Linked DNA regions of Sus scrofa. Each later gene encodes a partner of the first gene's protein in a complex. Links are inferred from orthologs where the notes say so. Each region holds a gene or a part of one and is shown on either strand. Other genes may lie near its edges. The genes, in order: ANXA11 and TARDBP.

Region 1 (3,813 bases):
TTTCCCAGCAGCAGAGGATCCCCTGCAGAGGGAGGAAGTAGAGGGAGTCACTAAGAGTCAGATGTTACTGCTGCAGCTGCTGCTGTGCGTCAGTAGCAGGGAGGTGGCACTAGCCAGTCAGCCATCTTTGTCCTACTACTGCCACCTCTGTCACCACTTGAGCAGCAAGAGAGGGAGCTGACAGGTGATTCTGGGAAGGTTCTGTCTTGAATGTCCTGGAGCTGAAGCCAAACCTGAGGCCCTCAGGTTCTTTCCACTGCCATGGATGGGGCTGCATCTAACAGGCCAGCAGCCTGAAGGGTGATGCTGGCTGTTGTGCTTGTCACAGTGACAACTGTAACATATGAATGCTCACCAGGCCCCCAGCTAAGCCCTGCCCAGCATTAACTCACTTAATCCTCATCACAGTTTGAGACAAACGCTAACTATCCCCACTTCACCTGAGGAAACAGCCAGGATGGTTGAGTGCCTTGCCCCAGAGCACATACCCAGGTGCCACTGGTTTCAGAGGTGTGGCTTTTTGCTGCTGTTCCCCTGCTATCCCCTTAACAAGGATGGGTGTTTTCCCTGACTGAGCCCCGTCTCCTTCCATCCTGTCATCTTGCTTCTCCCTGCCTCTTCCAGACTTGCGATGTTAGCAAACAGCCAGCTGGGCAGGACCCCCACCCTCACCCGCTCTGGTCTGTCAGTGCTCCCTGAGCTCACCGCTGTCCTGGGCTCAGCACAGTGTCCCCGAGAGAGATCTGTCTGTACTTGTGCTCCACGAGGGTGAGCCCAGGGGGGCAGGTCTGCCCTTGGCCCCTCTACCTGCTTAATAATTTCACAGAGGGTTTGGGAGGGTTTGCTGAACCCCTCCTTCCTCCCTAGAAGGCAAGGAAGGTTCCCTCTTCTCTTGCTCTGCCAGGGGGATTGGGTTAGACTTCCTTGCTGAGTATTTTCTGTGTGGTATACAGGGCCGTCCGAGGCTCTGCTTGGCCTTCCCTCCCAGCTGCCTGGGAGCTGATGTCTCTGCCTTTCCCTGTTGGAGGGCCGTTCTGGGGCTAACCGGCTTGCTGTTGCTTTCAGGTGGTGCCTGGGGAGGCGCTGCCTACCCGCCACCCAGCATGCCCCCCATTGGGCTGGATAATGTGGCCAACTACGCAGGGCAGTTCAACCAGGACTATCTCTCAGGAATGGTGAGTCCAGCCTTCCCGCCGGGCTTCCCTGGGGCTGCACTAGCATGGCCTGAAGGATGAAGCTGGCTCCCATGGTGTCAGAGGGTTTGTGTGTGTGAGAGAGGGAGAGAGAGAGAGATTACCTGTGGTCCCCAAGGGTATGTATTGAGCTATATCTAAGGACATAAAGGTTTTCATCAGGGCTCTCACTGTGTCTTGATTTTCCCATCTGTAAAATGAAGGGCAGGGAAATGCTTTGGACCACATCGTCTCCCAGGACCCTTTCGGCTCTAGGGGATTGGGTAGGGGTGTGCCTTCAGGGCACATACATCACGCACCATATGAGCTCAGCATAGGGACGAGCGGGGTAAGGGTATGCACCTCTTGCATGCACATGCCCTGTAAAAGTGGCCACATGCACCTGCATGTTATATATGTTTATGTGAGGATAACTGTTCTGAGTGGGCCTGGAAGCGGGTGCCTGGTTGCACAAGCAAACATAATACTTTTGTTGATTTGCTTGTAAAGTAGTATATTTTATAATCCAAAAACAAATGCATGCTCACTGTAAACGCAACCAATACTTGGCCTCATCTGTGCCAGGCCCATTCTGGGCACTGGGGGTAGAAAAATCCCAGCCCTGGAGTGCTTACCATCCACTGGGAAGAGACACATGGCATAAGGGAACCATGTGGTATTAGAGGAAGTCTGAGTACTTTGGCCACAAGGGCAGGTAAAAGGGTCAGCGATGCAGTTGGAGGGCATGTAGGACAAGGTGTGCGGTCAGGGTGGGCCTTGCTGAGAAGCTGGTGGTGCTCAGACTCACCTTGAGCAGAGTGTAGCCCCGGGTACCTGCTGCTGGCTCCCTCAGGGCGGGGAAGGGCAGATGGACGGAGGGCAGCCTTGTTTCTCAGAGGCTGTCAGTCTAAGGCTCTGCTTTGTGGACTTTCAGGCAGCCAACATGTCCGGGACGTTCGGAGGAGCCAATGTGCCAAACTTGTACCCAGGGGCCCCTGGGGGTGGTTATCCTCCGGTCCCCCCAGGGGGGTTTGGGCAGCCCCCCTCTGCCCAGCAGCCTGTTCCTCCATATGGAATGTACCCGCCCCCAGGAGGAAACCCACCCTCTGGGATGCCTACATATCCGCCATACCCAGGGGCCCCTGTGCCAGGCCAGCCCATGCCACCCCCCGGGCAGCAGCCCCCGGGAGCCTACCCTGGACAGCCCCCCATGCCCTATGCTGGGCAGTCGCCAATGCCACCTCCCGGGCAGCAGCCGATGCCAAGCTACCCAGGATACTCGGGGTCCGGGACCGTCACCCCTGCTGTGCCGCCAGCCCAGGTGAGTGCCAGCCCTATGCTATTCTCTGTCCAGGCCTAGCTCCAAAGGCTCAAGACACGTGGCCTAGTGTCCTCTGACAGCAAGACTGGGGAGGTTGCGGGGATGGGGGAGGGCCCAGTCCTCCAGCTGTAACCTCTGGTTTTCAGTGTCACTTTCTCACAGACTCCCTGTACCCCGGTTTTATTGCTGAGGCCCTAGGCACAGTTGCCTGGTTTTTCCCAGTGGTTAAATGGGCCCCATGAGCTTTGGGTTTGAATGCCCCCAGTACTCTTCATTCCTCTTGTGTTTTTTATTGCCTTGGGTCTGTGCTTTGTAAGAACTGGTCTCAAGGTCTATGCCCAGGGGCTGTTAGTCTTCTGTCCCCTGGATGTGCTCTCTCAGACTGGTATCAGAGGATTCTTAAAACCAGCTCCTTTGAGCAGGGAAGATTGTTGGCAGTTCTTTCAGGGCTGCTCTTGGCTCATTTTGGAGAGCAGTTCATGTTTACAGAGCCTAGAATTCATTGTCATGGTTACATGGCCAAACCAGCCAAGCACAGGGCTAGCAGTATGTGGTTGATGACTATTTTTAGTCAGAGGGTCCATTCCCCTCCCTTTCCCACACCCACACATCCCCCGCCCCAACCTCTGCCTTGCTTGTCATACTCCCTCTCTGCCTTCCCGCTTATCTTTGTTTTCAGCTTAACTCCTTAACTCTTAGAACCAGTTTGTACTAGATAATCCACCAGGAGACAGTTTAGGTAGGAAAAGTCATGTTTGCTTGGAGTGCAGCTGTTGTGTCAGGAAGAAGTCCTGCAGGCGAGCAGGTCACGGGATCCAGAAAATGGGGCCCGGAAACCAGAGCTAGTCCAGGAGGCTGCGTGTGCTAGGCTGGACACCTGCATCCTGGAGGGAACACCTTTTCCTAATGTGCATTGAAGGTGGACTGGCCAGGCCCCTTAGGGGAGCCCTGATGTGTCTCTGGTGGTCCCCTATTCCCGAGGATCATTCTTAATCAGGACCCAGGTGAGGGGAGATTTTCAGCATCAGGACTTAGCTCTAGGTGGGCTCTTAGCCACAGGAGCCAGGCATCAGTGCCAGGACATGACGACAGGTAACAGTCACCTTAGGCCAACTCAGCATCGAGTCCCCTGTGCCACTGGTTGCAGGCTCCTTCAGGTACCCCAGCTTTTAGAAGATAGGTCATTCGCAGAGTCTGGGGTGGACAGTCTCACATCTGGAGGAATATAGATAGCACCTTTCTGTCTGTCTGTCTGAGCAGTTTGGAAACCGAGGCACCATTGCAGACGCCCCTGGTTTTGACCCCCTGCGAGACGCCGAG
Region 2 (3,813 bases), on another chromosome or scaffold:
TTCCTTAATTTTGCTGTGAACTTAATACTGCTACAAAAGTGTCTTTTTGTCTAAATGTCATCTAGTTCCTCTCTTCCTTTCCAAATTTTGGCCTTTTAAAATAACCTAAGGTTTTTCTTTTTATTACAAAATTAACACAAATTCATTGTTGAAAGTTTAGAAACAAAACAAGGAAAATTCGGAGTTCCCGTCATGGCCCCCTGGTTAACAAATTGGGCTAGGAACCGATCCCTGGCCTTGCTCAGTGGGTTAAGGATCCGGCATTGCCATGAGCTATGGTGTAGGTCGAAGACACGCCTCAGATCCTGAGTTGCCGTGGCTGTGGTGTAGGTTGTCTGCTACAGCTCCTATTAGACCCCTAGCCTGGACCCTCCATATGTCGTGGGTACAGCTCCAGAAAAAGACCAAAAGAAAAAAAAAAAACAAGGAAAATTGAAATCACCCTTAAATCCGCAAGCTAGAGATAAAAGTTGCTAATTTTTTTGGTAGATAGACTTCAAGTTATAGGTATTAAAATAATTAAGCAAGTATATTTAACAGATACACTGTTATTCACCTGTTTTTTCCCTTCCTTAATGTTTTTTGGGGGGTTTTGTTGGTTTTTGCTTTTTAGGGCTACACCTGCAGTGTATGGAAGTTTCCAGGGTAGGGGTCCAATCAGAACTGCAGCTGCTAGCCAACACCATAGCCATAGCAACGCGGGGTCCAAGCTGTGTCTGCCACCTACACCACAGCTCAGGGCAATGCCGGGATTGAACACGCATCCTCATGAATACCAGTCAGGTTCATAACCCACTGAGCCCCTTAATGTATTATTTAAAGCAGGAACTCCCCTTAATGTATTATTTAAAGTCAAGTGAAGTAACTGGTTGGTGGGGGTGGCTGGGAGGCTGTGCCCAAGGCACACGAAAGGTCCTCGGCCAGATACCAGACTCACTTGTGCCACAGCAGCGACCCAAGCCGCTAGAGTAGCAAAGCCAGATCCTAAACCCACTGCACCACAAGAGAACTAAAGTGAAGTAACTTTTGACACACCTTTTGAGAGGGAAGAACATACAGTCGTAGTCTTAAGCTATTATAAAAGCAGAGGAAGGAATCCCTGGACTTGTTCCAGAAGAGCATCTCAGCCACTTACTCAATCCCTTATTGTGTCTTGGAGAGCAAACATCACAGCCTAAAGTTTCCAGTGTCTTGTGCTCTAGAATGTTTTTGCTTCTCGTTCTCTAGGTGAAGGAAGTAATGTGTTTTAAGAAGGGTTAAATGAAAGTTCTAAAAGGTTTCTGCTGGTTTTGTTTAGATAACAAAAGAAAAATGGATGAAACAGATGCCTCATCAGCAGTGAAAGTGAAAAGAGCAGTCCAGAAAACATCTGATTTAATAGTGTTGGGTCTCCCATGGAAGACGACTGAACAGGATCTAAAAGAATATTTTAGCACCTTTGGAGAGGTTCTTATGGTTCAGGTAAACTTTGGTTTCATTTAAGAGTTTTTCATTTTCAGTAAATGAGCACAGAGGATTCTTATTGTTTTAGTGACACTGCTCTTTTTTATGTTCACTAGGGTATTATTAATATTTGTTGTATGTATATATAAGGAGTGATGAAGTTACAGTGTTTTTATGCATGTACTCTAGTTTGGTTATGTGTTATGTGTGGTTTTAGTAAATTTAAATGATTTTTCTAGGTCAAGAAAGATATTAAAACTGGTCATTCAAAAGGATTTGGCTTTGTTCGTTTTACGGAATATGAAACCCAGGTTAAAGTAATGTCACAGCGACATATGATAGATGGACGATGGTGTGACTGTAAACTTCCAAATTCTAAGGTACTTTCCTCTTTTTCTCTCTGCTTTGGCCTTTTTTTTCTGACAAACTTCCTTAGAAGACACTGTAAAATAAACCATTACAGTAGGAAAGTGTAGTAGCAGCGTGTGTCCTTAAAATCTTTTGCTTTGGACCTTAATGCATGCTGAATATTTTGTATGTTTGCAGTACTTAGTTTTTTGTGGTTTTTTTTCGTCTTTTTGCTATTTCTTGGGCCGCTCCCTCGGCATATGGAGGTTCCCAGGCTAGGGGTCCAATAGGAGCTATAGCCACCGGCCTACGCCAGAGCCACAGCAACGCGGGATCCGAGCCACGTCTGCAACCTACACCACAGCTCACGGCAACTCTGGATCGTTAACCCACTGAGCAAGGGCAGGGAGCGAACCCGCAACCTCATGGTTCCTAGTCGGATTCGTTAACCACTGCGCCACGATGGGAACTCCTGCAGTACTTAGTTTATTACCCCTCCAAACAAAAACCTTGTTTATTCTTCCTTTTTTTTTTTTTTTTTTTTTTGCTTTTTTTTTTAGGGCCGCACCCAAGGCACATGAAGTTCCCAGGCTAGAGGTCAAATCAGAGCTACAGCTGCTGGCCTACAATCTACACCACAGCTCACAGCAATGCCAGATCCTTAACCCACTGAGAGAGACCAGGGATCGAACTCACAACCTCATGGTTACTAGTTGGATTCATTAGCACCTGAACTGAGAAGGGAACGCCTCTCTTGTTACATTTTAATGAGTTAACAATTTCTTACATCCTTAACACAGTAAAACATGAAGACCATTAGATGATGGAGGATGATGTGTACAGAAGGATATATATATATATAACTGGTTTTCTATACAACAGAAATTGACAACATTGTAAATCAACTATAATTTTAAAAAGTTTTTTGTTAATGAAGACAATTAGGAGTTCCTGTCGTGACGCAGTGGTTAACGAATCTGACTAGGAACCATGAGGTTGCAGATTCGATCCCTGGCCTTGCTCAGTGGGTTAAGGATTCTGCGTTACTGTGGCTCTGGTGTAGGCCGGTGGCTACACCTCCGATTAGACCCCTAGCCTGAGAATCTCCATATACCATGGGAGCAGCTCTAAAAAAGGCAAAAAGAAAAAACAAAACAAAAAGAAGACAATTAGAATACATTAATCTTGTTGTCAAAGACTAACCTGTCCAAGCAAGCAAGACTGGCTTATTTGGAACATTATCATCTTTGGCAAGACATTCTCAGTCATTGACTTTCCTTAATCCAAATATACTGCATTGGAGTTCCCTTCGTGGTGCAGTGGAAATGAATCCAGCTAGGAACCATGAGGTTGCTGGTTTGATCCCTGGCCTCACTCAGTGGGTTAAGGATTCGGCGTTGCAGTGAGCTGTGGTGTAGGTTGCAGACACGGCTCCTATCCTGCTTTGCTGTGGCTCTGGCGTGGGCAGGCAACAACAGCTCTGATTAGACCCCTAGCCTGGGAACCTCCATACACCTCTGGTGCGGCCCTAAAAAGGACAAATGACAAAAAAAAACTTGCATCAACTTCAAGGTTTAGATTTTATTCTCCACTGAAGTCTTAAAAGTGCTAACGCAAAAAAAAAAAAAAAAAAAAAAAAAAAAAGACTATCTACTTTTTAATGACTCATCTAATATAAAAGCAATAGGTTTTGTAACATTCTCTAACATGATTTTTCGTTGCTCATAAAATGTTTGTGATGGTTTTTCTTCCTTCCACTTTGACCAGCAAAGCCCAGATGAGCCTTTGAGAAGCAGAAAGGTGTTTGTTGGGCGCTGTACAGAGGACATGACTGCTGATGAGCTGCAGCAGTTCTTTTGCCAGTACGGAGAAGTGGTAGATGTCTTCATTCCCAAACCATTCAGGGCTTTTGCCTTTGTTACATTTGCAGATGATCAGGTATTTTTCTCTTCCTAATTTTGTCTCAGCTAATTAGGTAATTTCTGTTGAACTTTTTGCCCTTCCATATCAGCTAAGCTCTCT

The links.
Region 2: the proteins of ANXA11 (region 1) and TARDBP are in contact, whole or in part, in a cryo-EM structure (PDB 9FOR), measured with the Homo sapiens proteins. The link is inferred for Sus scrofa from reciprocal best matches to the Homo sapiens genes ANXA11 and TARDBP. Residues at the interface, in NP_001148.1 of Homo sapiens: Gly56, Met57, Ala59, Met61, Ser62, Gly63, Phe65, Asn69, Pro71, Asn72, Leu73; in NP_031401.1 of Homo sapiens: Ala328, Leu330, Ser332, Trp334, Gly335, Met337, Gly338, Met339, Ala341, Ser342, Gln343.

Annotation. Positions count from the first base shown.
Region 1 is NC_010456.5:81,862,669-81,866,481, forward strand, and holds part of ANXA11 (annexin A11), read left to right. Parts: intron 1-1,065; coding exon 1,066-1,175; intron 1,176-2,106; coding exon 2,107-2,493; intron 2,494-3,753; coding exon 3,754-3,813. UniProt on the Homo sapiens protein: Binds specifically to calcyclin in a calcium-dependent manner. Required for midbody formation and completion of the terminal phase of cytokinesis.
Region 2 is NC_010448.4:71,216,537-71,220,349, forward strand, and holds part of TARDBP (TAR DNA-binding protein 43), read left to right. Parts: intron 1-1,297; coding exon 1,298-1,461; intron 1,462-1,682; coding exon 1,683-1,823; intron 1,824-3,558; coding exon 3,559-3,729; intron 3,730-3,813. UniProt on the Homo sapiens protein: RNA-binding protein that is involved in various steps of RNA biogenesis and processing.